7 linked regions of the Cricetulus griseus genome follow. The protein of the gene in region 1 interacts with the protein of each later gene in a pairwise test. Links are inferred from orthologs where the notes say so. Each region holds a gene or a part of one and is shown on either strand. Other genes may lie near its edges. The genes, in order: Atxn1, Crk, Ywhaz, CUNH1orf94, Zhx1, Mettl27 and Cfl1.

Region 1 (4,107 bases):
CAGCCTGATCTAATTACATGAGTGATCAGGGCCGGAGTAAGTGTACAGAAAACTAACACCACTGACAGTATCTGTATGATGAGAGAGGCAGACAGGCAGGAGGCTTTTCAGCCTCCTATGGAAGGGAGCATTCAAGCCCATTTATTTGCAAAGCTGCTAAAATATTGACTGATGCATGGCCAGTTAGAGGACAATCAGAGGAGATTAAATGCCACAGCTAAACTGTTATGGTGCAATCCCTTCCCAAGAGTTCGTGCACATGTTTTTCTTTTGGTGGCTACCTCTAGCTTCCACTAGCATAAACTTCATTCAAAAATAAAATAAAAATAAACTCTCGGCTGTCAAACTGTCTTAGCTACCTACCCACCATCAAGAAACCAGAGGGTGGGCTTAACTTAGGGCTTCTAGGAACTGCAGGGCTTTTCAGAAAACCAAATAGAAATAGCTTGCAAACACTACTGAAAAGTAACCAGCTGTGCCTAAAAATAACCAGCATGTAACTACCTTGTTGTGTACGACCTATAGCAATGATGTTTAAATATTAAGGGGAGCTTGCATTATAAAACAGAAATGTCACTGAGATGAGACTAGATTGCCACAGGGAAACATATTGCACACACACAGTCCTCTGCATGCAAGGGTGAGAACTCTACTGTAAGGCACTACTTTTTATTCTGTAGGTGGTGTGGGGTCTTCTAATTTTACTAATTGTATCCTGTGGCTCTCTCTGAGAAGCTAAGAAATCTCTTCGGGGACAGAACCAGTTTGGAGGAGTTCCTACTGCACAACATACGGTAAACAAAATAAAAATAGCTTGCCTTTCTTGTTAGCCACATAGAGCATTATATAACCAGCTTCCGACTGGCTTTTTTTTTTTTTCGCCCTTACTACTCTTCAGCAATTTCCCAACCTTCCCAAGTATTTATATTACCCTCTTATCTGTAGGATTATGCAGAAAGAAAGCAAAACAAAACAGGACAGCCACGGGATCGAACTGAACTCCACCGTCTTAAAACCCTGATTTTTTTTTTTTTTTTCTGGCAGAGTCTAGATCACCATCCTACTTCCACCCCCCACCACTAAGGTCCTTGCTCAATCTCCCTAGAAAACCTGAATTGTTTCACCGCTTCCAGTCAGCTCTACGTGGTCTGAAATAAAATGAAAGCGCACAAGCCCCAGAGTTGAAGGAGGTGGCTAAGGAGAAGTCGAGGCGCTGCAGAGTCAGCCAAAGGACCACCGCGGGACCCCTCCCCATCTCGGAGGCTCTGGTCCCCACTCGGCGCGAGAACACACGCACACATACACACCTACACACTCACAGGCTCTCACTCCCTCCTCTCCGACCCCGCCTCACCTCTCGCTCCGCCCGTCCGGCCCCTTCCCTGCCCCCTGCGGGACCGGCCTGCGCGCTCCGTTGCAACCACGTAGGAGGCGCGGCGGCCGCGGCAGCCACGGCAGAGGCGGCGTCTCGGGCTCGGAGTGAACGAGCCGCGGGGCTCCGGGGCGCATCCCAATCCCCGCAGCGCCTCCTCCTCCGCCGCCTCCTCCTTCCCCTCCTCCCATCTTCATTCACCCTCCCTGCCGCCGCGCAGCCGAGCAGTCCCGGAGCAGGGCAGAGCCCCTCCTCGGCTGCTGCCTCGGGCGCCGGCTGGGACGCCGGGCCGGGCCGGGCTGGGAAGCTCGGGCTCCGGCTCCGGCAGCGGCGGCGGCGGCGGCGGCTGCTTTGGATCAGGAAGCGGCCGCACCAACAGGGCGGCGGTGGCGGCGGCTGCAGCCAGGGCCCGTCCCCGCCGCCACTCCCGCTGCGCTCCGATAGCCTGCGCGCCCCTGCCCCCTGCGCCGCCACCTCTCCTCTCCCCCAGGCCGTGCGCAAAGTCCCCGGTCCCCAGAGGCTGGCCTGGGCGGGGAGACCCCAGTCTTGGGGTCGCCTCGCACAAGCTAGGCGACCCCGGGCGGGGAAGCCCAGCCCTCCCTCGAGTCCCCGCGGCGCTCACCGCCCCCTCCCGGGAGGGAGAATTTGCAAAAGCGAAGAGGGCAGCGCGACCCTCAGCCGCTGCCGCCTCCCCCTGCGCCACCAGGAGGGAGGAGGACCAGGCTCTCGGCTCTCGCCGCCGCCGGGCCAGCAGCAGCCTGAGCGGGGCGCCGCCGCTCTCCCCACCCGCGCCCCTTGCCCGGGCGCGCCCCCTCTCCTGGGGGCGGCCCACCCCTGGCTGCTCCCCGGGCCCGCTGCTCCAGCGCCCAGAGTGGGGTCCCGAGCCGGGAGGCTGGAGCCCGGCAGGGGTATATGTACACACACTCACACACACGCGCGCGCGCACACGCACACACACACACACACACACTCACACACACACACACACGCACACACACCACGACGCGTCGGTTTCCTTCGCTCCTCTTCCAGCTGTTTTCCTTGTAGCCCATTGAGACTGGGGGAGGGGAGATTGTACGCTGGATGTTCTTTGGCCCCTCTCCGGAGAGAGAGGATTGGGGTGAGGGAGGGGGTGATTTTAATCTAAATCGAGGGGGGGGGAGAGGAGGAAGGGGGAGGGGGAGAGAAAGAATCAGAGGAGGAAAAAAAATAGCCACTTACTGTAAAGTGTAAATGGATCTGGGGTTGCGTGGGGAAGGGGGGACAGAGGGAGAGACACAGTGTCCTGCGGCTGCTGTAGCTCTAGCTGCGGCTCCACAGGGCTTGTTTTGGATCCCCCTGCAGTGAAACAGGTCCTGTACGGCTCCGCCACTGTAGTAGAAATGATGTCTGCGGTATACTCTGCTCTCTCCTCCTCCTCCTCCCCCCTCCCCTCCCTCCTCCCTCCGCCCGCCCTCCCTCCCTCGCGCTCTCTCTCGCGCTCGCTCGCTCGCTCCAGTATGTAAATGTGTAATAGAAGCCAAATATGGAGCAGTTGGCTGCCGCCGCCACAGCTCAAGGATCCGACTTCATGGGGGGGGGGGGGCACCCTCTGGCAGGCGGCCCGGCGAGCCGCACAGAGCACGGCGAGCGCACGGCGCGGCTGCCGGCCCGCGCCCTTAACCCTTCTGTGCACCCGGCCGGAGCAGCGGTCCCTCCCTCCAGGGGAGGCCCGGTGCCTCTCCCTAACTGCGGCTCCGGATCCCGGACATCGGCCCGTGGGGACTGTGCCTTCCAGGTTTGAGAAAGGGGAGGGGAAGTTGGGGCGATGAGGTCATTGGAGTGGTGACCCGTCGGAGCTCGCGCGCCTCCCCGTCTCCTTGCAACCTAGTTGGAGGGGACAGGGCGAGTGTAGGGTGCAACGCTCGCAGCCTGGAGGACTCACCGCAGCGGGTGTCAGGCTTCGGTTCCCACCTGGTAAAATAAGCAAGGATGCGGGGAAGTCGGCTGACTCTAATCCCGAAGTGACCTTGGTGCCCCCACCCCGCCACCCCGGTGTGTGTCTAAGAGGACTCACTGTATCCTCGCTGTTAACCCTCCAGCCGGTGAGCCCTGAGCAACCCGACTCTGGGCCCGCGCCTTGGCTTGCAACTCGGGAAAGTTCTCAGGCTTCCTCAGTTTGCACTGGCGCCCTCACCTTTCCTGCCCGGACAAGCTGGCAGCCTCCCGACCCTCCTATCTAATTCTGCAGGTCTAGAAATCTGCAGTAGGAATCAGACGTCTCAGTTCTAGCTCTGGGAGCCGACCTGCTCACTCCTTTCTCAGCTAACAGGGAATCACTCATTTCATCGGAAGTGAGGTAACCGGTGCCCCGACCATTCGATGGCGGTTCTCGGGAATCCACGGCAAAGGAACTTTCCCTGGTCCTGGTGGCTGAACGCAGACATAGAGTCCCCCCACCCACCCCCTCCGCTACAGCACTGCCAGGTGTGAGCTCGGTGGGAAGGAATCTTCCCCGGAGGAGTGTACCTTGCCAACAGGTGTGGCACCCGGAGAAAGAGCGGGCACAACCCTACAAGGGTCGCTCAGTGCCGAGTTCCCTTTGCTGCAGATAATTCTCGAAAACCAGTAGGTGTCAGGCCAGCATCTGACCTCTTTCAGGTGCTTAGAACTAAGAGTCTAGAAACCCGATCCCTCGGTCTTGTAGGAAGCCACTATTATTGACTGTAAGCGGGATTTGAGAGACCTTTTGGCTC
Region 2 (4,223 bases), on another chromosome or scaffold:
AGAGACAGTTGTTAGTTGCTATGTGCGTGCTGGTAATTGAACTCGAGTTCTCTAGAAGGACAGTCAGTGCTCCTAACTGGTAAGCCATCTCTCCAGCCCCTAAACTGGAAGTTTTAAAGATTTTCAAAGTTTTATGCAGGGTAACAACAGATTTGTATTTAGAAAACTTGTACTGATGGCTATTACAGTGTCATCCAGCAAGCCAAACTAAGGAACAGCAGCAGGCGGGCTGTGCACTGGAATCTTAGCAATAGTGGCCAGCCAGGCATGTTGGTGCATTCTTATAATCCCTGTACTGGGGAGGCTGGCGTGGAAGGATCTTGAGTCGGCCTGGGCTACATCATAAGATTTCATGTCAAGCAGGGCATTGGTGATGGCACACGCCTTTAATCCCAGCACTCGGGTGGTAGAGGCAGGTGGGTCTCTGTGTTTGAGGCCAGCCTGGTCTACAGAGTGAGTTAGAGGACAGAGAGGGATACACAGAGAAACCCTGTTTCAAAAAAACAAAAACAATTTTTTTCATTTCAAAGTAAAAAAAAATTGAGAGAGATGATCATGATCATGAAGCAAGTGAGAGTAGGAGACATCCATCACTACAACTGAGAATATAGAGGAAACTGTCTGGTTGACATAGGAGCCTCAATCCTTTCTCCTGTCTGAGCATTTTGTTTTCTTTGCATTGAGTATCCTTCCCCACTTGCCATTCAACACCCAATCATTCAAGCCACCTCATCTGTGGACCCTTGTTTGTTGTTTAGGTTTTGTAAGGTAGGGCCTCAGACTCACAGTAATCCTCCTGTCTCAGTTTCCTAAGTGTTGGTGTTACAGTCATGAGTCACATTACCAGTCCCTTGGATCCCTCTACAGACTGCCTAGTTGATCTCTTTATATTCCTGTTTTCCATCATAGCATTTGTTGTTCCTTTGTCATTAATTGTTTCCTGGTTCCTCCCACTGGTCTGTGAATTTGGTGACTTACGGCCCAGTCTGGATCACCACTGCACCTGCAGGGAAATGTAACGTCTATGATTGTTACTGAGTAACAAGAACTTCTGCTTACCTCGGGGGAAACTGAAGAAAACAGCAGAAAAATACCAGCTTGTCAGGGAGCTTTGAGGGAGGCTAACATCTTGGGACCGTTTACTACTCCACTCCTGTAGGTCCTGGGCGAAAGACCTAGGCCACCAATCTGTCAGACACACATCAGTCAGCTTGCAGACTGAAGCTCCGCCCCTTAGTCCTAGACTCCGCCTCCCCATCCTCGGTCGCCAGGGTTTGGACCTGGAGGCGACGCCCATGAAGAAGCCGCGTGCGCACTGCGGGCCCCAAGGACTCCGTTTCCCTTCTCCCAATGGCGGGCGGCGGTCCCCCTTCCCGGCAGCCTCCCTCGGGTAGAGAGCGCGTCATTTCCGGTGGGGAAGGCCCGCGGCCGCCGCCGCCATTTCGGGCGCTGCTGGGAGGCTGACACCGGAGCCGGTCCGCTGGGCGGCGGGCGCCAGGGCTGGAGGGGCGCGCGTGGCGGCGGCGGCCCAGCGTGAAGGCGCGGAGGCGGCCATGGCGGGCAACTTCGACTCGGAGGAGCGGAGTAGCTGGTACTGGGGCCGCTTGAGCCGGCAGGAGGCGGTGGCGCTATTGCAGGGCCAGCGGCACGGGGTGTTCCTGGTGCGGGACTCGAGCACCAGCCCCGGGGACTATGTGCTCAGCGTTTCGGAAAACTCGCGTGTCTCCCACTACATCATCAACAGCAGCGGCCCGCGCCCTCCAGTGCCTCCGTCGCCCGCTCAGCCTCCGCCGGGTGAGGGACAGGCGGGCGGGAGGCCCCGGGCGGGGGTGAGGGCCGTGGAACTCTGGTCCGCTTCAGGAGGAGGGACGTGGGCAGAGAGGGCAGGAGTGACCCTGGCGGGGGAGCTGCCTTCAGCCCAGGCTGGTTCCCACCGACGAGCGGGATTGTGGGGGAGGAGGAGCTGCTCACCGAGGCCTCTGGGTGTGCCTTGGGAGCCGGGGAAGGGGAACTGCTGCGGCCCCGGGGTGGGGCTGGGCGCCAGGGTCAGGCCCAAGGGCAGGGCAGGGCCAGGCAACTTGGGGACAAAGAGTTAGTGGGGATGTTGCGGGGACACAATTTGGCAGAGGTGCCCAGAATGGATCTGCTAATCCTACAAGTGGCTTTTAGGCTTGAAACGTTTCCTGCAGTGTTAGAGCCGGTTTTGGCCATACTCCCCTGGTGGCCTTCGGTAGGAAGTCACCACGTACTGGCTGGCTGGGAGGGATGGAGACACCCTCAGGAAGCCGGTCGGTTTTTTCCTTTCTTGGGCATTTTTCCAAAATCTTTTTACCGTGTTCTTCCCTTGTGGAATACGAAGGTGGTGAACTAAGTGACTTGGTAATAGAAAAAAGCCTTCTGTGACCAGCCCAGAGTAATTGAAGCCTAGCTGGCAAACTGTCCAAGAGGTTTGAAGTGTCCAAAAGACTGCCTGCTGCAACTAGAGTTTCTAGTTTCAAAGTGATTAGTGGGGGAAAGGTTTTTTTTTTTTTTTTCCTTCAGAAAATAAACCAGGTATAAGCCAGTGAGAACAACCCTGGAAGTGAATGGAGCTTCATTCTCCTTGGGTTTAAACAGTGTCAGTCATGTACTTCTGGGTCTTTTATTGCTCAGTAAGTTGGTGTTGTAGTCAAAGTCTTCCAAGATACAAGAACAGACCTGTCTGTAAAGATAACACCAAGCATTTTAGTTATCCCACGGGGTCTTGTCAAGGATCAATGAATTGTAACCGCCTTGCCCATACTGTTGGAGTTGTCTGGCAATGTTAAGGAAATACATCCACTTAGCACTTGAGGTTTTTGAGATACAGAGTGATTCTGTGATTGCCTTTGTCTGTGTATGTATGTAATGCATCAAGTTTCTTGCTTTCTGGATGTTTGAAGTGAAAGCCTTTTTCTCCTAGATCTGAGCCAGTCTCATGAATGAAGACTCCTTGGCTAACCATAGCAGACCTGCCCTTTTTAGGATAGTCCTAACTTAGATTTATTCACTTTGGCCTGAAATGAGGTGCGATAAAGATAGTTCTTTTTGTTAGCACACACAAGTTAAGGGAAGAATTTAGTATTGAGGTCCTTTTAGTTTACACATTTAGATCTTTCTAGGTCTCATTGGTTTAATATGTAAAATAAAATAAGAATATTAATGTAGCACATTTGCCCTAAAGGTATTTGTGCCATCTGCAAGGTATCTATTTTATGTTAAGTGCAGTACTAGGATGGTATGTTGTCATTGAAATTCAATTTCCAACCACATGTCATAGTTAATGCCTGTAATCCCAGCACCTGGGAGACCGAAGCAAGATGATTTTACAAGTTCCAGGCTATCCTGGAGAACTTAGTAAGACTCTGCCTCAAAATAAAAAGTTAGGATGGGGGTGGGACTGGGAATATAATTCAGTGGTAGTTTATTTGCCTAGCATTAGGGAAGCCCAGGTTTTATTTCCAATAGTAGGGTAGAAAATTTCAGTCCTCAGCTTTCTCTCTATGTGTTTTGTTATAAAACTTGGGAATAGTAGCAGGCAGGTTTGTTAGTTTGATATTTCTCCATACCTGGGCATTGTGGTTTTATATCTCAGCAGCTCCACCTTTTCAAAATAGATGGTTGGTCTAAGAGAGGAGATTGCCAGTTTGTGGGTGGGGTAGGAAAGTTCATTGGCATTGTGGCAATTTGTTCTGTCATGTACCCTATTTTCTCTTTAGGGCAGTCAGTTCACTTGCTGTTTTTTACTTTATGATGGATACTTAATCTTTGCCCCCCCCCCATTAAGCTCTTTTTGTTTTAAAGCTACATAGGGATTACTTGAGTTTTAGAGAGGCATATATAATATTAATAGCTGACACTTATTGACTGCTTATTGTATGCCAGATGCTTTGCTGAGGACTTTCTGTGCCTTACAGAAGTTACTGTCGGTAACAATATAGTGAGTGAAATATTGCAATGTGCATTTATTAAAATATTTCCAGTTTTTGGACGAAAGAACTAGAAATCCAGTAACTTGTAAGGTCACAAATTTAGTATATAACTAAACCAGAATTTGAGCTAGACAGTGTCACCTGAGAACTGACCCGGCCCCTTATTATATAGTTTTGTTATTCTTTGTTTATTTGCTTTGAAATCCCTGAAGTGCACTTAGGAAACTCCATTCTTTTGTTTTGAGACAGAGTCTTACTGTGCAACCCTATCTG
Region 3 (4,246 bases), on another chromosome or scaffold:
CCATTCCCACTTTACAGGAGATTTAACCTAGTACCTTCTGTCAAATTGCGAGCGCCTACTACAAAGCTGGAAACCTGGAATCTTTTGAAGTGTTAGTCACCTACGAAGTGAGTCACTCCCTGCAAGAGTCTCCATGAGAGCCTGCATCGGTTTGCTCATCTATCTGTTTTAGCGGTGCTGTGGATCTGTGGATGTGCAGACTCGGGGTGGGTGGGTCAGGGGAAAGCGATCACAGGCAACTCTCGAGCTACCTATCTGCCATTTCAGGGAAATGATCATTTGTAGAGCAAGCTTATGACCAGACCATGTATCCGACAGACAGACACTGAGTTGGGGGAAGAACAGCTTGTCGTGGAATCTTCTGGAGAGCTATGGGCTGAATACTTTTTCCCCCCTTTTCTTTTTTCCAGCCAGCAGGAGCTGGGTAAAGGCGTTTGCTTCAACTCAGGACGCACGTTTAAAGGACGCAAGGGCACACGCTTCACGCTGAGAATGCTTCTCCCTCCGCTTCCGTCTGCTGGGTGGAGACCTTGCGGGTGCAGGCACCTGCAATTTCCGCCCTCTTCCTACCCCCTCTTCCGGGCCCAGGCGCTCCCGCCCCTGCTCGGGCGAGCGGCCCCCCTCCCACTGTCAGATGGGGGGCCCCGAGAGCGAGCAGCCAGTATCCCCAAGGTGGCTCCCAGGACCTAAAAGGCTCTTTGAGAGCGTTAAGTGGAGACAACGAGCCTCCCCGTCAAAGCCCGGCTGTGTGTGTGTGTGGGGGGGGGGGGGCAACAGTGCAGCGCCCGGAGATCGGCTCGCTGTGTGAGCCTGTGTCCCCCCAGCTCGCACAAGCCCTTCCCCTCTCCTCCCGGAGACCCCCCATTGTCTCCCTGGCTGTCACGGTCTGTGCGGGGCGACAGGAGGGACAGCGGGCGGCTCGCCCGAGCCTTAAAAGGTCTAAGGCCGCTTTACTGCAGCGGTGGGCGAGCGGGCGAGCTAGCAAGCGGCCACGCCCGCTGCCGCCCCGCAACCGGGGCTCTGATCACAATGCCCCGGCCGCAGAGCCCGCCGTCATTACCGGGGCGGCCGGGAGGGGGAGGGGCGGGTGGGGGGGGGGGAAGACGCGAAAGGTCCCGGATGTGCCCGCCAGTAGAGGTGTAGGGGGGAGGGAGCGGCTTCCTTCCGCGGGCCGCAGGGGCGGCGCGGGAGGGAGGAGGGAAGGAGGAAGGAGGGCGGCTCGCGGGGGCGGCGGGGGCGAGCCGAGCGCGCGGGAGGAGGAGGAGGAGGAGGCAGGGTCGGGGACGCGCTCTCCCTGAGCTCGCCTCGGGCGGGCAAGCGAGCGGGTGGGCGGGGCGGGCGCGCGCCGGGGGAGCGGCGGTTGCGCCGGGCACCAATCAACGGTTGCCATAGCAGCGTTTGACGTCATTGTGCGTGTGGTGCCCCTGCTGCCGGGGCTAGTGATTGGAGGAAACCCCGTGTCTGCGGAGCCGCTGTAGCCTGTGAGCAGCCAGATCAGGGACAGAGTCTCAGCCTCGCCGCCGCCGCCGCCCAGGGACACTGCCGACCGGGTCCGTGTGCCGCCACCCACTCCGGACACAGGTGAGCAGCCTCCCGGGCTGGCCCCTCCGCCGCTCGCCCGCCCCGCCGCGGCGGGCGTCCCCAAGGATCCTGGACCCGGGCGGCGGCTCGTCCCGCCGAGCCCCGGGCGAGCGCCCACGGCCGCCCCCGGGCCGCTTGCTGCTGGCCCTGCCGGGGTGCTGGTCGCCCCGTCCGCCCGTGTCCCGTGTCCCCGGGGGTGGGGGTGGCGGAGGAGGCGCCCACGCGCGAGACCCTCCCGGGTTTGGGGGGGGTAGGGCTGAAGCTCGGGCGAGCGGGCGAGCGCCATCCGCCCCCGCCGGCACCCGCTTCCGCCGCGGCTGGGACCGGGGCCGTGGCGCAGGTGAGGCGGCCCCCACCCCGCCGTGGCGCCCCCGCCGCCCCTCCCCCGCCGCGCGGGCAGCCAGGTAGCGCGCGCGCGAGAGAGAGCGAGTCTCCGGGGTGGGGCCGGCTCGCCCTCCCGCTTGCCCTCCCGCCGGGGACCCGGGGCTGAGCTTCCTGGGTCCCTCTCGGTGGCTCACTCGCTCGCACGCTCGCACACTCGGTGGGTGGGTGGGTGGTTGGGGGAGGGGCTCGGCCTGGGCGCCCCGGGGACGCAGGGGGGTCTCCGGCCGGGTGGGAGGTGAGCATCCTTCGGGGAGAGCGGGGGCTGCGCCGGTCTGGGTGGGGCCCGGCCCCTCCCATCCCCCTCCTCCTCCTCCGCAGCTGTCGGGGGCGGGAGGGGGGACCCCGGGAGGGAGAGAGCGGGGTGTGTCCGGTGCGGGTCGGCCGCCGTCGGTTCCGCTCGTGCGGGCGCCGCTGGCTGGCATCGGGGGGCCCCCTCCGGGTAGGGCGAGCCGCTCGCCGCCGCCTCCTCCCCCCCACCTCCACCACCCCACCCCACCCGACCCGACCGCTCCTCCCTCTCGGCTCGGCGGTGCTCGGGTTGGGTTGGGCTCCTTGACACAGTTCCGCCATGACAAAGAGAGAGAGAGGGCGAGCGAGCGAGCCGGGGACCGGCGGAGGCGCCAGCCTGGGCGGAGCCAAGAAGGGGAGGTGGCTGCGGGCGGCGCGGACGCGAGCGAGGACTGGCGCTGGCTTTAAAAAGTCTGGGGCGCGGTTTCGGCTCGCCCCCGCTCGCCCGCCCGCCCGCCCCGGGCAGGCGAGGGTTAAGTGGGTGCGGCGAGGGCTCCCGCAGTGTAGATGCTGGTTCTTCGTGTGCTTCCCGCGGGGAACCGGGCGGCTGAGGTCGGCGGGGGTGGGGCCGCCGGGGCCGCGCTGACATCACTTCCCAGGGCCGTTTCTGGTGTGAGGTTTCCAGACCGCAAAGGGTTAACTCGGCCTAGCCAGGCCCCGGCGCTTGTTTCAGTTGAGGATGCTTCTCATTGATTTAACGCCCCCTCCCTCCCCACACCACACCACCCCTCCCCACCCCCCAAAAAAGCGATTTCTGGAAAGGTTAAAGGAAAGGGTGCGATGGTGGCCTTGGGTGGTGGCGGTGCATTGGGCAGTGACTGTCATGGAAATTCATTTCCTGGGATCCCTGTGGTTGAGAACCGTGCTCTTGACCCCGTTCAAGGAAAGAAAAAAAAAAAAAGTTGATCAGAAATAAATTGGGATCTAGGGAACTTGAACTGCAAAGGAGATTGGCGGAGAAGACGTTAGGGCCGACTTAATAAATGGTGACTTGGAGAAAAGCCATGCAGGGGGAGTCTGCACCTAAACTGCAGTGTGACATCGCAGGGGGCGCCTGCGCTTGGGTTGGCCCTGAGTGCTCGCTCCCTGCTGCGCAAAGTGTGCATGTAACTCCATGTAGATGGGTCTGTCTGGTCTCGGGGCGAGTGATCCCTAGTGGTTTTATATTCAGGGTATCCTAAGCATCAGTCAGTCAGTTTCCTCAGATAGTTTTCATCCAGGAAGTGTAGCAGATCGGGCTGGAGAAAGTGCTAGGTAAAAGGTAATCCACTCGGGGTCAGAGTGCACACACTGAAGGTTAGCTGGCCTGACTCACGGTTCTGCGAGTGGAGTGCTCTTCATGGACCTTCTAGGTCCGGATCTGGAGTGTTCTCCCCAACGCACTCACGCACACACACACTCACACACACTCACACTCACACTCACACTCACACTTACCCTCTCACTGTAGGGAAAGGTGGTGAAGTGTAGGTCACTCTGCATTGGGATTAAGTTGAGCTTTTTAAGAAAACAAGTGTGTTGGAATACACAGCAAGGGACAGCAGGCTGAGCGATGACAGGTCTGTGTCACAGCTTGAAGGTGGCTTTTGATGATAGAGTAGCACATATATGCTCTGATCTTACCTGAAATTGGGGGTCTCCTAAACAGGTGGGGGGGCGTCTGCCATTTGCTAAGCCACTGTTAATATGCTCGGTATGTACGTTTTCTGGTTGATGGGAGGGGCTGTATTTTAACTTGCCGTGGTTTAAGATACTAGTATACCTTGTTACAGGTACAAGGAGCTATTCTAATAGGAATTTTCTGAATATCCCTTTTCTTCCCTTTGCAGAATATCCAGTTATGGATAAAAATGAGCTGGTGCAGAAGGCCAAACTGGCCGAGCAGGCTGAGCGCTACGATGACATGGCAGCCTGCATGAAATCTGTAACCGAGCAAGGAGCTGAGTTATCTAATGAGGAGAGGAATCTCCTCTCTGTTGCTTACAAAAATGTT
Region 4 (4,144 bases), on another chromosome or scaffold:
TAGTCCAACCTATCTTGCTTCCCTGTTGGCCAACAGTACTTTATTTATCAGCCAATAAGACAAACATATGCACAGAAGGACCTCCCCCATCAAAACTCTACACATTAGGCAGGGGAAAACCCAGCAGGTGTGTATCTGAACACATAAGAAACAGTGGTGTGCCCTCTAGTTTTAAAGTTTACCCTTCATCACTCAGAACATGGGGTTCCCACAGATATATATGCAGGCAAAACATGAGTGCACAGAAAATAAAAAATTAAAAAAAAATTAAAAATTTAGATCTATAGGCTCTCGCTACCTTTATTTTGGGGGTTTGCAAATTTGTATAGTGAAAAAAGAATGGGGAATTTGAAAAGGTACTACCTCTTGCCTGCAAAAATTTCAAGATTTACAGAAATTATAACTGCTGTTCTTAGAAGGAATTTATGAATCCTAATTACTAGCAGGACCATTGAACGATTCAGATTTGCCACCTCCAGCAACCCCTACTGTCACCTCCATTTGGCAGATGACCAAAGTTAAGATCCACCATACAGTCACAGTTCTGCATCCAGCGCGGGGCTGAACCTGGTTGTCTGACTCCAGAAGCACTGGCTTTCATTTCATGAAGTTCTCATTGTGTTCTACCAGGTGGATAGCTACAACTATGATGTGGTTTATTCCTCCAAGTAGGTGGTTTCCTGGGTCTCTTCTCAGTCACCAAACTCTTTCAAATGCAACCATACTCAGAACTCCAGTAGTAAAACCAACAAAAGCCTGAACAGCTCTGACTAAAGTATGTGTGGGACCCAGCAGACAACCCACTTGACTCTAGGGTGGCTGTGTGAAGCACCCTTGGGACTTGGAGACCACATGAAAACTCCAGAAGAAAGCCAACAGCAGTAACCCTCCCACCCCAAAACTCGGTGCATTACATATTAAGGCGGTCTTGTTTCTATAATGCATCTTTCATTTCTTTGTTTCCCATCACATTTGACCCTCATTATCGACTCTGAGTTGACAAGGCAGGGCACATCATCCTCAATTTGCAGATGAGGAAATCAGGGCCAAACAGAATGAATCAACTGGCCAAAGGTAGGCTAGTTCAATTTCTGGCCAAGTGTGGACTGGAAGTAGAGTCTGTCTCCATGAATTCAGTGTGACCTGGCAGAGAAGGGGCTATCTACTGGAAATTGCTACTGACCTATGATCCAGAAAGTGGACAATCAGCTCCTTGGCCATTGAGAGAGCTGAGTACAGCCCCCAAGGTTTCCCATGCCAAGGCACTGTCCCAGAGCAGATGGCAATGAACAAGACAGAGGAGCTCGGTGCCACTGAAAAGACTAGCCACAGGATTCTGGCTATAGAAAGGCCATTTCCATCTGAGCCGGGTCCTGCTGAGCATAGGGCAGAGGAGGCAGAAGCAGCCAGCATGCCTTCTACCTTCATCTGCATCAAGCAAAGGAGCTTGCAAAGGGATTGCAGGAAGTGCAGACCTGAGCATCTGCTATACTTTTCTTTCCCTCTCAGCTATTGCTTAGAGAGCCCTGAAACCTGAGGCAGCTGATAAATGCCTGAATGGTTCCCCCATCTCTGAACTGAGTTGGAGCATGTGTTGGGGGCAGACAACACTTAATTATCACTTAGGCTTTAATTGGCACTTAATTATTAACACTTAATCCATCTGTAAAATGGGGACACTAATACCTGTTTCATAGGGATGCTGGGAGGATTAATTAACGCTTGCAGCCCACTTTGAAGGTGCAGAGCCTTGAAAGAGTACTCAGCAGTGACATTAATCACCAAAACGAATGCACTCCTTCTCCTAATGAGATCCCTTCTTCCTCTCTGCTCCTTCCTCTCATTTCCAATATCCAGCCCCAACAATATCTCTTCAACTTTTTCCTAGTGCAGAAACACTTAGCTCTGTGTTTCCCAGACATGGGATTTCCCATCCGGGAAACCGGCTATTTACAGTCATCTTCCCGCACTTTAATTTTCTATTATGTCCTCTGAATATGTCAATGCCTTCCCAGTAAATATTTTGATGTGCGCTCTTGCAGTAGCTCTGTGGATGCTGAATGGGACAGCTGCTCTCTGTATTAGGGGATTCCAGATGTGGTTTCCAGCCATCAGACTCATCTGTGCCAATGCCTGAACTTTTCTTGGGAGAGGGGAAAGATCACCTAGTTGCCTCTGGGGACAGTGATATTACCCCTAGGCTTGGTGAGAATACTCTTGCCAGGACCCCAGATTTTCATCTTAGTTGTCTATGCCTTTAGAATGACAATGTCTCCTTAGTATCTGGAAAGAAGCCATCAGGAATGGTTTCTTCCCTTGCTCCTGGAATTTCAGCACCGTGGCCAGCTCCCTCCTCCAAACTACCCATACTAAGGGATGAAGAAAATGTTTATAGAGTTTAACACTGGCCAGAGAGAGTTCAACCCTAAGTCAGACTTCATTTCCCCTCCCTCCATTCCTTGATAATCAACCAAACAGGGCACTACTCACTCTTCTTGGAAGCTGACAGTCGCGGTCATCGGCGCCGAGAGTTTCTCCAGCGAGGTCCTGGGTTGCAGGGACTCCGGCAAGCCCTGAACTCTCTTCCAGATGTCATGGCAAATCTTATCTAGGCTATCCTGGGGTGTGTCCTGGTGGATCCACACGTATCTGGGGAATGGCCCCAGGGCGGAGGGACGCTTGGCCACCATGGCCGAGGATGGAGGGAGCCCATTTCCACTGGCCATCCTCTTTCTCTCTTTCCGGAAGCCCCTTTGTCCACCCAGGGCTGGGAGACAAAGGGACTGTCCACCACCAGCCCTCATTCACCAGAAAGGGAGCTAAAGACTGGGCCTGGGAAGTAGTCAGTTCTAGCTGGCTGATGCTCCAGCCAAGGGATGGGTTTCAGAGGCGTTTTGTTTGGGTGGGGATGAGGAGTAGGGGGCAACTTTCTTTTGGGGAAGGGGGGCTTATGTTGACTTGCTTTTATTTGCTCTTTCCTGACTTTTGCCCCCCTCCCCCTCTCCCGTAGAAGAAAATATTTAAAAGTCAACAAAAACCAGTAACTTAGTAACCGTGGAATGCCCCGGAACTCAGGAACCAAGCGCCTGGGCGGGCAGAATGACATCTGGGAACGACTGGAGGGGAGGACTGGCTCTCCCCACAGAACCCGGCACACCCCCGTTGCGACACCCCTGTGACACCTTTCAGGGCCTGTGACTCAGCCCATTCTCGCCTGTCAAGCCGCCAGGAGGGCTGAGTAAGGGCTGGGCACTGTACTAGACTGGGTGGGGGCAGGCCATGGGACTGTCTCCTCCCACCTTCCCAGAGATCCGGTGCACGCCAAGGGCTAACGGCCCTCGCCCACCGCAGTTCCTGGCTTTAGCTCTCCCGGCTGCCCCCTTCTGTCCCTCTCTCTCTGCTGCTGCTACTGCTGTTCTGCCTCCCTAGAAAGAAATCTCCTATGCGGTGTTGTGCTGGCAGTCAGCCTGGCCTAGGTCCCCAGCGGACACCTGTAGCGCCTCCGCGCAGAACTGAGACCCAGCACCGCAGAGGGTCCCAACCCTTAAAAGGGCGCCGATTGGGCAGGGTGGGCCGGGGCGGGGGTCAGCAGATTTGCGTGCCGAGTATCTCCCACTCCCCTGCCGTCGAGAGCTGGGATTCTTTCTGTGGGTTCAAGCGCAACGGCTCGGCGGCTGGGTGCGCGGGGACACGGGCCAGGCGTTCGTATCCAAGGTCCGCTGGTGGAGTGGGGGCGGGGTGCAGCCGGGAAGACCCCAGAGAGCTTCCCCTTTGAAGTAAGTCAAAATGAAACACTGTCTCCACCCCCACCACTACAGACATACTTAAGAGCCTCTGAGGGGTGGGCGACCTGCCCTTTTGTCCTCTGGCATTAATCCTAACTGCCATTCCAAGGGAGCACCGAATGCCAAGGGCTGAGCTCAAATCTTATCCTATTCCAGGTCAAGAGTTTAGTACTACTTCTTATTCGGCATACATGAGTCTCCAAGTCCTAAAAAGTTGTGTTTGTCCAGAGTTCAAGAAGGAAGGCTGAAATTCAAAAACTCAGGACTCTAGACCTGATCTAGTGCCCTGGGCTCCTAAGCGACCCCAGCGCTGGGACAGGGACTCGAGAGATAGAAAACAAACAAACAAGAACTCATCT
Region 5 (4,294 bases), on another chromosome or scaffold:
TCTGTAGATCAGGCTGGTCTCGGACTCACAGAGATCCCCCTGCCTCAGCCTCCCGAGTGCTGGGATTAAAGGCGTGCGCCACCACTGCCCCCGCAATTTACTGGTTTCTTAAACCATTTGCATGAGCAGTTTACATTCTGAATTTAGTTCCAAGAAGCCAAAGCGCTGTCAAATTTTGTTTGTTTGTTTTAAGAACCGGGTGAGAGCAGCACAGGGTTGAGCACCTCTGCTGGTGAGATCACCGAGCCTCGGGGTGCACGAGCTTTAGAATCTGGGATACAATTAAAGTATTGTGCACGTCGACTTCAGCAGCCGGGCCTCCCCTTCAAGCAATTGCAGGCTGCAGATTTTAGCAGTGGGTAGTGCGGCTTGGTGGAGGAACCCTGCTACCAAAGCACAGAGGGTCTCTGATTGGGATGGGGGTGCGTCCGGGGCCGTGAGCACCCTCGGGGTGAGTGCTTGCTTCTCGCCTTCGTTTGCACCATCCTTTTAACCGTGGGAGGGGAGAGGCGGTGGGGAAGGCGCTGAGGACCTCAGCTGGGGCCCACGAGAGCTCAGCGTCCCTGCGTGGCTCGCAGGGGGACGCTCAACTTTTCCCCATCCGTCCATCCGGAGAGAGCTGGAGCCGCGGCGGCCGCTGCCCGGCTGGGCTCGGCTGGGCTCGGCTCGGCTCGGGCCGGCTCGGGCCGGGAGGGGCGGAGCCGCCGCTGGCAGGCGCGCGGGACTGTTGACAGCCGGAGGGGGCGTGGCTGGAGCCGGGAGGGCCGCCGGAGGCGGGGCTGAGAGGGGAGGGACGGGAGGTGGGCGTGGCGTGGATGTGGGGGCGGGACCTTGGAGTCACGGTCCAGGGAGGGGGGCGGGGCCTTCGAGTCCCGGGGTCCAGGGAGGCGGGGCCTCCGTGGAAGAAGAAAGTGACTAGAGGCCGCCGGAGGCGGGGCTGAGAGGGGAGGACGGGAGGTGGGCGTGGCGTGGCTGGGGGGCGGGACCTCGGAGTCAGGGTCCAGGGAGGGCGGGGCCTCCGTGGAAGAAGAAAGTGACTAGAGGTCGCGGTGGGAGGCGGGAGGCGGGGCTGAGAAGGAAGGGACGGTGATGTGGGCGTGGCGTGGCGGTGGGAGCGGGGCCTCGGAGTCACGGTCCAGAGAGGGGGCGGGGCCTCGGAGTCAGGGTCCAGGGAGGGCGGGGCCTCCGTGGAAGAAGAACGTGACTAGAGGTCGCGGTGGGAGGCGGGAGCCGGCTCCGCGCCGCGGCGGCGGTGGGCGGAGCAATGGGCCTGAGAGGGGCGGGGCCTCGCGCCGCCGGAAGGCGGGGCTTCCCTGACGGGGCGGGCTTGGGCGGACAGAGGCGTGGCTCCTCCTGACAGGGGGCGGGGCTCCGCTGACAGGGGCGGGGCGGGCGGGGCGGCGCGCGCCTCCCGCAGCGCGGGGACCCTGGGGGGGAGCGGCCTGGGTCTCGTCCCGGCGGAGCGGAGCGGAGCGCGGCGCGGCGGAGCGGAGGAGTCCTCGCGTGGGGCGCCGGCTCGCCCCGCCTCGCCTGGCTCCTCCTCGCGGCCCCGGAAGGCTCGGGGGTGGGGGGTGGGGGGACGAGGGCGTCCCCTCGCACCCTGGCTCCGCGTGTCGCTGCTGCCGGGCCGCGGGGCTCCGTGGGCCCCCCGCGTGAGGGCCGTCCGAGTGGTTCCGGGGTTAGGGTTCACGGGTCAGAGTTGACTCCCTGAAAAGTGCAGTCGCTCTCAAATGCAAGATGGCGGCGGCGGCGGCGGCGGTGGCGGCGGCGGCGAGGCGCTGAGGCGCGGCGGCCCCTGCAGGTAGCTGCGGCGAGCGGGCGAGCGGCGGGCGAGCGGCGCGAGCCGAGCTCCCCGGAGCTCGTGGCGGAGGGGACAGCCCCGGGGCAGACGTCCCCCCGCACCTCACCCCTCCCCCTCCCCTCCCCTCCCCTCCCCTCCATCCCCTCCCCTCCGCTCCCCCGGGACCCAGCCCACGGCGTCCGTGCGAGCCGCGTGGGACCCGGAGGCACCCGGCGGGCCTGCCCCGCGCACTCGCGCCTCCCGGGAGCTGTCGGGGATGGCAGGGCGAGCGCGGGGCGCGGGAGAGCGCTGAGTGAGTTGGGGCGCTGAGGGACGGTGGCAGCCCGTGCCCGGGGAGGACCCCCCTGACTGCGCCTGGGGACCTGAGGGAGGCGGCGAGCGCTGGCCGCCCCGGGCGTGGGGCCACCTGGCGGGGACGCAGAAGAGTCCGCGAGGGTCTCCGCGTGGGCTGGAGCCCCGGGGAGCCTCGGCCGGCAGGGGGGACGCGGAGTTGCACCCCTGAGTGAGGAAGACCAGGGTTGTCAGGGAGAAGTTAATGGAAGAGGGGGGGACACACTGTCTTCTGTGGAGCCATGGCTGGGGAGAGAGCGTGCTGGCCCTGGGGAGTCTCCATGCCTGGGTGTCAGGGAGAAGTTAATAAAAGAGGGGGGACACACTGCTGAGGAGACAGCGTGCTGGCCCAGGGGAGTCTCCATGCCTGGGTGTCGGGGAGAAGTTAATAAAAGAGGGGGGGACACACTGTCTCTCCGTGGAGCCATGGCTGGGGAGAGAGCGTGCTGGCCCAGGGGGGTCTCCATGCCTGGGTGTCAGGGAGAAGTTAATGGAAGAGGGGGACACACTGTCTCTCTGTGGAGCCATGGCTGGGGAGAGAGCGTGCTGGCCCAGGGGAGTCTCCATGCCTGGGTGTCAGGGAGAAGTTAATAAAAGAGAGGGGGACACACTGCCTTCTGTGGAGCCATGGCTGGGGAGAGAGCGTGCTGGCCCAGGGGAGTCTCCATGCCTGGGTGTCGGGGAGAAGTTAATGGAAGAGGGGGACACACTGTCTCTCTGTGGAGCCATGGCTGGGGAGAGAGCGTGCTGGCCCAGGGGAGTCTCTATGCCTGGGGCTCAAAGGGAACGACCTGCTGATTCCTTGACTCGGGTGAATGGCTACAAAGAGGGAATGAAAGAATTGGGGTCTGACAGGCAGGAAAGCCCAGCCCTGACACCGAAGTTGCAAGAGAAGGGACTTGGGATTCTTTGTCCAAGGGGACCAGCAAGGAACGAGCACGACCGACGAAAGGGACTCTGTTTGCTGTCCTTAGTGCAGGGGGACCAAGCCCCTGGGGAAACTGAATGGCTAGAGTAGAATGCCAAGGCACTTTTCTGCCGCCAGCCCTTGTTTAAGAGACAAAACCCAAACCACACCGTGAAGGGACACTGTATAGGAGAAACTTGTAAGAAAGGCTGGCTGAGAATTTGTGACATGACTAGGTGGGAGTCTGTGTAACTGGCAGAAGCAGTGCTCTCAGAGGTTAACAGGATAGCAATTGAAAATCCATAAGAACCCCTCCCTCTACCCCCAGGAGGAGTGAGGGGTGTGTGTGTGTGTGTGTGTGTGTTTGTGTGTTTGTGTGTGTGTGTGTGTGTGTGTGTGTGTGTGTGTGTGTGTTGCAGAGTGATATAAGTGCACCTTTTTGTTTGAGGTGTTGGTCACTGTATCTCTGTCTCTGTCTGAAAGAAAGCTGTGATTTGTGTGCAGTAGTAACTAATGCCCTGAAAAAGTCAGTATTTTAAACTAAACTGAAAGTTTGTTCCAATAGAGCTATTGGCACATAGATTATTTCAGTTTCTAAAGAAGCGATTCTGACTCCAGATTTAGTGAGGAAAGGTTAAGTGCTGCCAATAACACAAGTTTGGTAACAGGGCATATAAGGAAAAAGACGTGGTGTGTGTGTGTGTGTGTGTGTGTGTGTGTGTGTGTGTGTATGTGTTACAGTATTTCATTTATCAGTGATTTTTTTGTACAGTTACCTTTGATATTTGACTGCTTAGATTAAAATGAGGGGGGAAAAAAACCACGCTAGTGACTTGGGTAACTTAGACAGTTATAATTCATACAGATGTCCCGAGCTGTGCTTGTATTCTTAACAGAGCTTACTGTTTTCGTTGGAAATGTTTTGAGGATACAGGTCAAGTATAACTAGCTGTATAACTTGGAACACTTGTCTAAGTATGTGCTGTTCCTTGGTTTCCCCACAATGCACACGGCTCTGGTGTTCTACCCAGTTCTGAACAGATTAGTCTGGCAAAGCAGAGAGGCGCAGATGCCAGATGGTTTGAAAATATGCTAAGGCCGAAAACACAAATGTGTCTGCGCGGAAGATGCTCATCGGTGGTTTCGCTCCCTCACCGCCAAGCTTGCTTTACACTGGGCTGGACGGTAGGACGTGCAGGACGCCACCCTGGTCCCACCTTTCACCAGTCTTCTCTGTGCTGAAAAGCAGCAGAGCT
Region 6 (4,216 bases), on another chromosome or scaffold:
ATACCCCTAGACACTCCCTTACGCTGCCCTATAAGATCTCTATACAGTGGCTTCGCAGTGTCTTTTCCTAGCCATCCTCCATGGTGGATGGATGAAAGGCCCGAGCTAACATGGGGTTAGCTCATTAAATAACTATAATAAAGTCTCGTGCAGTTTGCATCAAGCTTTCGAATCTGCCTGGTGATTAGAGTGGCTGCAGTCCTGGGCTGAGATCCTGGGGGCCTGAGCTCCCGGGGGTCTTACAATGGGATGGACTGAGATCCGGGGAGTGGTCCAAGAACGGTCACATGCACTGATCACCACAGCTAGGATAGTCATTATTATCCTTTGGTCGCCTCAGTGACAGAACCTATGAGTGTATCCATGCTAGGCAAGCACTCTTCTCTGAGAGACATCCCTGTCCTACACAGGATGTTTTAGGTGCTTCTGGAAAGTTCCATGAGAACAATGAAATCTCAGCACTTGGGAGGCAGAGGCAGGAGGTTGAGAAGTACATTTCTGTCCTTGCCTACATAGAAAGTTTAAACTAACTTGAGCTACTTGAAATCATAAAAAAATTAAAAACCGGGACTGTGAGATGGCTCAGCAAGTGAAGGCACTTGCAGGCCAGCTGAGAATTTGAGTCCCATCCCAGGAACTGGAAGGGGAGATGAGACTCCAAAAAGTTGTTCTCTGACCACCACACACAATCACCCAAAAATTAATAATTTATTAAAAAAAAAATACTGTAGCCGGGAGCCGTGGCACAGGGCTTTATTCCTAGAACCTGGGAGGCAGAGGCAGGAGGAACTCTGTGAGTTCCAAGTCAGCCTTGTCTACATAAGTAATTCCAAGTCATCCAGGGCTACATTGAGAAGCCTTGTCTCTAAAAAAAAAAAAAATGTATTTGTTTATTTATTTGTGAAAAAACAAAACCAAAACAAACCCAGCTGGGAGAGTTTGAGAACTTCCCAAGCAAGGAAGACTAGAGCCTTACGCTCATTGGCTCGTAGTAGGGGCGGATTTCGGATCTTTCTTTTGATTGTCTGTTTTCTCTTACGGAAACCCAATCATCTGATTGTGGAGGCGGGGCCAGGCTCTCTGTCCCACCGCCCGTCTAGCCCGGAAAGAGGGAACCGAGCTTTGCGTTCTGAATGTTCTGCTCTTTGGAGGCTTTGCGGTGAGGAAGAACCCCCCGATCCACGCCCGGGGGTGACGGGCTGGGGCGCAGCCCTCATTCCCTGAGCGGGATTACCCCTCTACCCACCCCTCCCCTACAAACAGTCCCGCCATCTCCCACTCAGGATCTTGTATGTGACGTGGGAAGGAGTTGGAGCTCTGGTAACCTCCTCCGCCAGGTGAGGAAGGACGAGATACTGTGGTGGACCTCGTCACAGGGTGGGTTCTGTCCCCACAGGAGGATGACTCGGGAGGAGGCTGGGAGGCTGCCCCAAGTACTGGCCCGGATCGGGGCCTCCCACGACATCACCGACCTGGCCTGCAAGCTCCGCTTCTATGACAGCTGGGCTCCGGAGTACGACCAGGTGAAAGGAAGCACGCGGCCCAGATTGTGTTTTTATATGCAAAGCAAGAATAGTACCCGTTCATTCCAGGGAAGCTAGGAGCTGAAAAGAGACCTGGGAAAGAACCTTCCAAACCTGCTCCTTAGCGATCTGCCCACCTACTAGCTCTAAGCACCCCCTCTAACTCTGGATTGGACGTCCCCATTGAGCCAAGAATGACCCACCTTAATACTGAAACTCAGACAGGGAGACTGCCTGCAGAAGGCGCTATTGAGTCGTCACTCAATATAGACAGACTGGTTAAGAGCTGCCACAGCTGGTCTGGCTCAAAGGTTAAGAGCACTGACTGCTCTTCCAGAGTACCTGAGTTCAATTCCCAGCAACCACATGGTGGCTCACAACCATCTATAATGAGATCTGGTGCAGATATACATGGAAGCAGAATGTTGTATACTAAATAAATAAAATCTTTATGGCCAGTAGCCAGTGGTCCCACTGGTGTGGGGTCCCTTGACAGTCAAAGACAGCTCAAGCCTGGGTCTTCTATTACTGGGGTCCCAGAAGGACCCAAACCAAACACATCAGCTCAAACCAACAGGCCCCTAACAGGCCCCTAGGTAGGTACTCCAAACCCTAGGGCACTAGAGGGTGTTAGACTAAGTGCTCTGTCCACAGGATGTGGCTGCTTTGAAGTACCGAGCCCCCTGCCTTGCTGTGGAATGTCTCAGTGGAGCCCTTCTGGGCCCACCCCATGATGCCCTGATCCTGGATGTGGCCTGTGGCACCGGCCTGGTGGCTGTGGAGGTAAGACCTTCTGATATGCTATGAGGATGCTCTGCTTCCTCTTCAGCACCCAGGGCTTCCAACATGCTACCTCTGAATCAGCAGCCCTCAGCCCCTGGCTAGTGAACTGTAGTCAGGTGGTCTCCACACATACCCTCGGCCTCTCACTGAGGGATTCTGAGCTTGTACTCTATCACTAAGCCATGCCCCAGTCTAGGCAGGTGCCACACCTCAGTCCTCACTGGGGGATTATTGATAAACCCTCTACCAACGAGCCACACCCGCAGTCCTTTAGTTTGCTTTTTATTTTGAGAGAGGGTCTCACTAAGTTGCCCAGGCTGGCCTTGAATTTAGGATTCTTCTGCCTCAGTCTCCGGAGTACCTGGGATGACAGGCCTGAGCCACCACATCTAGCTCCCTGCCACTCCTTGACCAAGAACCCATCCTCTATCTCTGGCTCATTGGTCACAACGTACAAGGACCCAGCTGAGCAGTGGCAGGGGATGAGCCGTGACTAATGCCACCTTCTCTCCCAGCTGCAAGCTCGGGGCTTTCTACAGGTGCATGGGGTGGATGGAAGCCCAGAAATGCTGAAGCAGGCCCAGGCACGTGGCTTGTACCAACACCTCAGCCTCTGCACCCTGGGCCAGGAGCCGCTGCCTAACCCTGAAGGTACTTCCCACTCCACACCCCTCCCCACTCACCCATATTACCAAAATATCCCCTCCTGTCCAGCCTCCATCTTCACTCTGAAGTCTTATGTGAGCCTTCTCACTGTTCCCTCCCTTCCAATCTAGAGTCTGAAGTCACCTCATCTCATACACAAGGCTGGGACCTACAGGTGCCTGAGGTCCTACTATACCCAGTGTATACATAACATCTTCTACTAATTATTTTTCTTATTGCTCTGACAAAATATCAGACAAAAGCAATTTAATCATAGGGTCTCACCTGTCCCTAAGGAGCTACACACAGTTGTTGGGAAAGGAACAGTCATTTTCTTCAGTGGTGTTGCCACTGATAAGTTGCCCATGCTCCAGCACACCACACACACACACACACACACACACACACACACACACACACACACACACACACACACACCAAGCTCAGGCAGCCCACCCCCAGTTAAACTCAATGGGTCACAAACAAAACAAGACATGAAAATAGCAAGGGTGGTGGAGGTGATGCGTGCCTTTAATCCCAGCCCTCAGGAGGTAGAGGTGTAGCTAGTTGTTTTATTCTTTTAACTTTTTGAGGGCCCCCCCACCCATCTCCCAAATAAATCATACACACAGGCTTATTCTTAGTTATAAATACCCAGCCTTAGTTTGGCTTGTTTCTTGCCAGCTATTCTTGACTTAAATTATCCCATCTATCTTTGGCCTTGGGTCTTTTCTCTTTCTCTATTCTGGCCTGCCTTTTCTTTCCTTCTTCCTCCATGTCGGACTGGGCGGCTGGCCCCTGAAGTCCTCCTCCTTCCTTTCTCATTCTCAGAGCCTTTACCCCCCCCCCCCGGATTTCTCCTCATAATTATCCTCTCTGCCTGCCAGCCCCGCCTTTTCCTCTCTCCTGCCTCACTATTAGACCATCAAGTGTTTTAGACACGCAAAGAATCACAGCTTCACAGAGTTAAACAAATGCAATATAAACAAAAGTAACACACCTTAAAATAATATTCTCCAATATAGAGGCAGGCAGATCTCTGTGAGTTCAGGGCCAGCCTGGTCTACATGGTGAGTTTCAGGATAGCCAGGGCCACACAGAGAAACCCTGTTTTGACAAAAAAAAAAAGGGGGGTGGGGGGAATAGCAGGTGCTAGAGGATGAGAGAAGTAGGGGTGAAAAGGACCAAACTACATTATATTCTTGGGGTAACTTGATGGAATTGGAGAGATGGTTCCTAGGTGAAAAGTACATTCTGCTCTTGCA
Region 7 (4,148 bases), about 210 Mb from region 1:
TAAAGCACAGGAGGGGGTCTCTTCAGGGATTGGAACAGCCCACGATCTCCAGCTGTCATGCCGGAAGTCGTTGTCCACCTCACTGGCCGACCCTCTTTTCAATCTAGCCTTCCGCACCCTCCTCCTTCCTCGGGCAGCCTTATAAGGAGCCAGAAGCTGGCGCTCGGGCTGGGCACGCCCCCTGGAGTCTCATTCCCTAATAAGGACATCTAGGGCATCTCGTGGCCGGGGGCGGAAGGAGCGCGTCTCCAGGGTAACTGTAGCCCCTCCCCACGTTGCTCTGGGAAACCGCGAGGCTCGAAAAAGGTGGAGCTAGTCTTTTCTTTAAGAGGGGCACGGGGTGGGGGTGGGGGGGTGTCAGGCTTCGCCTGCACCGGGAGCTCCGCCGCTCAAACCATGAGTGCAGCCGGCTTGACTCTGACTACAACCCCCGGCATGCTCTGCGAGTTGCCTCACTCTCGACGGGGTTGTTCTTCATACACACCCTTTATTCGGCTTATGGGGCGGGTCAAGGGCCCCAGTTTCCTTCGCCTGTAACTTGCTTGCGACTTTGCCCTCTTTTCCTGCCGATTGTGAAGCTATGATCATTGTTCGAGGTCAAAGAAATGTTCGAGTCCCCACCCCAGTTTATTTTAAGCTCTTGCTCTCAGAGAGATTGTCTGGTTCTTTTTGTTGTTGTTGTTGTTAAAATAACCATAAACCTATCAACTCGAGAGCTAAATTCAAGTAAATATTCCTTTTCTTATCGCCTGGTAAAGGAAATATATGTCTCTAATACATAACTCTTCACCCTTCCCACATGAATTATATTTGACCCAAGAAGTTGCCAAATGTCTTTAAACAAACCGAAGCTCTCAAACTTTCTATTGTAACGTTTTCCGTTTGTTAAAATCCTATTTTTTGTTGCAATTTCATACGACCTCTTGGGAGACAACAGTGACTTTCCACATGGAGGGACACTTCACGGAAGCTTGTCTACTGGCTTGGAGACACCGTTATAATTGCGATCCTCCTTTCTTTGGAAGCGGATCCCAAGCCAGTGATTCAGAAAATTAAAACATTGATCAATAGGAGCCATACATAACGGGAATCCACTTCACTTTGGGATTAAGAGAGACTCAGGACAGAATTATTTTCAGGTCATCTTATCAAGCCATGGGCCTCTTGCTCATCTAAGAGCGTTTCCTGATCCCTTGCACCAATGGGCTCACTCTCCGTGCAATAGCCCCGCCTCTCTGCCTCCACCTACTCCCCCGCGCCTCAGGCTCTGCAGAACCCAGGAGCAGCTTAGCTCCACATCGGTGCAAAATCTTTGGACTTCATTTCCCGTCGGCCCGCGCGGCGAGCGCCGGAAGCCCGCCCCGCCCCTCATTGTGCGGCTCCTACTAAACGGAAGGGGCCGGGAGAGGCCGCGTTCAGTCGGATCCCGGCAGCAGCTGCGGCGGCTCAGCTCTTCTGTCGCTCTCCCTGTCTCCCTTTCGCTTCCGGAAACATGGTGAGCACTAGGCCACTGTGCCCGAGGGAGGCGGTTTCGTGACCAGTCGCTAGCGCGCCGGGTGGGGTGGGGGCGGCAGAGAAGCGTTCTCAGTATCCCCTCCCCCAGCGCCCCGAGCGAGATTAAGGGTCTTGCATTGAAGGGCAGGCCGCGCGTGCGCGCCCGTGGGCGCTGGGAAGGGCCGATTTGGACGTCGCTAGCGCGCCCCCTGGCTCCTTTCCCCTCCCCCATTCCGCTTTTGCGCCCGCGCGGTCACTGGCCGTGGGGGAGGGGTCCAGTGTGCCGAGCCTAGGGCAACGCTCGCCGGTTCTCGATGGCGCGCGCTGGACCAGAGCACGCGGCATCCAAACCCTGCCCCGGGGCCGCTAGGGAAAAGCGCGCGCGAGGTGCCGGCGCGCGCCCCACCCAAGGGCTGTTCCTTTCCTCGCATCATCCTCCCTCTGCGGATGGGTTTGTCTCCACAGCAGGTGGCAGGGATGCCACCAGGGAGGGGCGGGGGCAACTTGGCTGGCGGGGGGGGGGGTACGAGCGCATCGGAGACCTGGTTGAGGCACTGGCTCCGGAGACTAGGACCTTGCACTGGTCGTGGTGTTGTGGGTCCTATACGGGCTTTAGCCCCCATTCTAGAAAGAGCGATAACACACTGCCTTTTCTGTTCACTGTACTTCAGGATATGGCTGGAACGGCACTGTGCACCAGCGCGTGCGCACATGCTTGGGCCCTGCCATCCCGGCCGCAGCTCTGGACGAGCTAGGCCTTTGGCTCTGCCGGATGGGGCCGAGGGTGGAGCCGCGTTTAGGGAAGTGACCCAGGCGGGTACCGCCCGGAAGCCACCCAACTCTTATGTTAAGCCCGAGGGCCTGGAAAACTGATGCTTGTGTGACTGGCCCGTGCTACCTCTCAAAGCTGACGGGGCTCACGGCTATTCCTAAAGGCGATTCTTAGGCTTTCAGACCTCGTACATCCCGCCGCCTCTGGGATACGACTGTCTCTTGGGAAGGCCCTGAGCCTAACCCAACCTCCTTTCCCCGCCTACTCCGGAAGAGGGCTAATCACGTGGCTAGCTTCCTCTGCAGTTCCATGGTTGGGGGGTTGGTTACAGATTTCTGTTTGGGTCGGCCCCCAGGGCCATGCAAAGTAAAAAATTTTTGACGATTTGAGGCACTACAGTTTGACGTATTTGTCAGTGATCTTTAGGACACCACTCTTAGGGAGTTGTCCGGCAGGGCCCTAATTAGGGGTTGTAATTTTTTTGTTTGGGAGATCTCAGCAGGTGAGAGTGTCGTTTATGCAATGAAGGCTCTGGCAAACTTAATGAACTGTTGAGCATCTGTTGGGTCTTTGCGAAGTTCTGGTCCCCTCTTGCCCGAAGATGAGTCTGGCCCAGGTGCTCAGTTTTCCTTCAAAGTCAGCATTTTAGTTTAGCGGCTGAGTGGTGTCAACCCAATCAGTAACTTTCAGATTCTTTGAATTTGGCGTTAAGTCAGCAAAGGCTTTTTGTTTTGTTTGTTTGTTTGTTTGTTTTTCTTTTTTTTAAGAGACAGACTTTCTCTGTCACCCTGACTGCCCAGGAACTCCGAGAAAGGCATGTTCTACCACTCCTGGCTATGTTTTCCTTTTAACAAGCGCTGTTTCTAACCTTTCATGGGGGTGTTGAGCTAGATAATTGGTACTCTCCCTTGTAGGGGTTTGACCCACCTAATCCTTAGATGATGGATTGTATTGGGGATCGTATGTCTGCAGGGACATTACTATTTTTGCGGGGCTCAGAGCTATACCTTTTGGTATCCTGACTGAGGTTTCCTGTTATTTGGTTTGCCCCTCAGGCCTCTGGTGTGGCTGTCTCTGATGGTGTCATCAAAGTGTTCAATGATATGAAGGTGCGCAAGTCTTCAACGCCAGAAGAAGTGAAGAAGCGCAAGAAGGCAGTGCTCTTCTGCCTGAGTGAGGACAAGAAGAACATCATCCTGGAGGAGGGCAAGGAGATCCTGGTGGGAGACGTGGGGCAGACTGTGGACGACCCCTACACCACTTTTGTCAAGATGCTGCCCGACAAGGACTGCCGCTATGCTCTCTACGACGCAACCTATGAGACCAAGGAGAGCAAGAAGGAGGACCTGGTGTTCATCTTCTGGTGAGCTCCTCATTGAAGCTCTCTGCCACATGTTCTCTTTCTCAGGAGAGCTTAACCGAAATCATCCTAGGTTTGGGGGTCAGGGTTGTAACAAAACTAATGAGGAACATGTCAGGGAGCCCATGTTGAGCATCCTAAACAAGTTTCTTTTCTGGAGACACCTATTTGGGGATAGCTGCCGCAGTTTCCTTGCTTTGTCTTCAGGGCCCCTGAGAGTGCACCCCTTAAGAGCAAAATGATCTATGCCAGCTCCAAGGATGCCATCAAGAAGAAGCTGACAGGTAAGGATGGGTCTCCTTTTCATGTGCCCTTCTGTGTGAGTCGAGACTGCCATGTGGGTTGATGACAATAATGGGTCCTCCATTCTCCTGATCAGATGGCTGCTTCCCAGACACAAAGCTCCCCATCCCAGTGCTCCCTGCTCACCATTCTCTTTCTCTGTAGGAATCAAGCACGAATTACAAGCAAACTGCTACGAGGAGGTCAAGGACCGCTGCACCCTGGCAGAAAAACTAGGTG

The links.
Region 2: the proteins of Atxn1 (region 1) and Crk interact in binary tests that used the Homo sapiens proteins (3 or more experiments, as listed by UniProt). The link is inferred for Cricetulus griseus from reciprocal best matches to the Homo sapiens genes ATXN1 and CRK.
Region 3: the proteins of Atxn1 (region 1) and Ywhaz interact in binary tests that used the Homo sapiens proteins (3 or more experiments, as listed by UniProt). The link is inferred for Cricetulus griseus from reciprocal best matches to the Homo sapiens genes ATXN1 and YWHAZ.
Region 4: the proteins of Atxn1 (region 1) and CUNH1orf94 interact in binary tests that used the Homo sapiens proteins (3 or more experiments, as listed by UniProt). The link is inferred for Cricetulus griseus from reciprocal best matches to the Homo sapiens genes ATXN1 and C1orf94.
Region 5: the proteins of Atxn1 (region 1) and Zhx1 interact in binary tests that used the Homo sapiens proteins (3 or more experiments, as listed by UniProt). The link is inferred for Cricetulus griseus from reciprocal best matches to the Homo sapiens genes ATXN1 and ZHX1.
Region 6: the proteins of Atxn1 (region 1) and Mettl27 interact in binary tests that used the Homo sapiens proteins (3 or more experiments, as listed by UniProt). The link is inferred for Cricetulus griseus from reciprocal best matches to the Homo sapiens genes ATXN1 and METTL27.
Region 7: the proteins of Atxn1 (region 1) and Cfl1 interact in binary tests that used the Homo sapiens proteins (3 or more experiments, as listed by UniProt). The link is inferred for Cricetulus griseus from reciprocal best matches to the Homo sapiens genes ATXN1 and CFL1.

The regions. Positions count from the first base shown.
Region 1 is NC_048596.1:265,665,673-265,669,779, forward strand, and holds the start of Atxn1 (ataxin-1), read right to left. Parts: upstream 2,816-4,107; 5' UTR 2,594-2,815; intron 1,514-2,593; exon of another isoform or gene 1,355-1,513; intron 1-1,354. UniProt on the Homo sapiens protein: Chromatin-binding factor that repress Notch signaling in the absence of Notch intracellular domain by acting as a CBF1 corepressor. Binds to the HEY promoter and might assist, along with NCOR2, RBPJ-mediated repression. Binds RNA in vitro.
Region 2 is NC_048600.1:89,144,101-89,148,323, forward strand, and holds the start of Crk (adapter molecule crk), read left to right. Parts: upstream 1-1,407; 5' UTR 1,408-1,553; coding exon 1,554-1,794; intron 1,795-4,223. UniProt on the Homo sapiens protein: Involved in cell branching and adhesion mediated by BCAR1-CRK-RAPGEF1 signaling and activation of RAP1.
Region 3 is NC_048603.1:14,723,467-14,727,712, forward strand, and holds the start of Ywhaz (14-3-3 protein zeta/delta), read left to right. Parts: upstream 1-1,441; 5' UTR 1,442-1,581; intron 1,582-4,082; 5' UTR 4,083-4,093; coding exon 4,094-4,246.
Region 4 is NC_048595.1:25,030,159-25,034,302, reverse strand, and holds the start of CUNH1orf94 (uncharacterized protein C1orf94 homolog), read right to left. Parts: upstream 2,805-4,144; coding exon 2,491-2,804; intron 1-2,490.
Region 5 is NC_048603.1:29,563,173-29,567,466, forward strand, and holds the start of Zhx1 (zinc fingers and homeoboxes protein 1), read left to right. Parts: upstream 1-1,482; 5' UTR 1,483-1,801; intron 1,802-4,294. UniProt on the Homo sapiens protein: Acts as a transcriptional repressor. Increases DNMT3B-mediated repressive transcriptional activity when DNMT3B is tethered to DNA. May link molecule between DNMT3B and other co-repressor proteins.
Region 6 is NC_048597.1:114,000,267-114,004,482, forward strand, and holds the start of Mettl27 (methyltransferase-like protein 27), read left to right. Parts: upstream 1-1,400; coding exon 1,401-1,523; intron 1,524-2,177; coding exon 2,178-2,306; intron 2,307-2,821; coding exon 2,822-2,957; intron 2,958-4,216.
Region 7 is NC_048596.1:53,848,259-53,852,406, reverse strand, and holds the start of Cfl1 (cofilin-1), read left to right. Parts: upstream 1-1,339; 5' UTR 1,340-1,492; coding exon 1,493-1,495; intron 1,496-3,321; coding exon 3,322-3,629; intron 3,630-3,833; coding exon 3,834-3,910; intron 3,911-4,073; coding exon 4,074-4,148.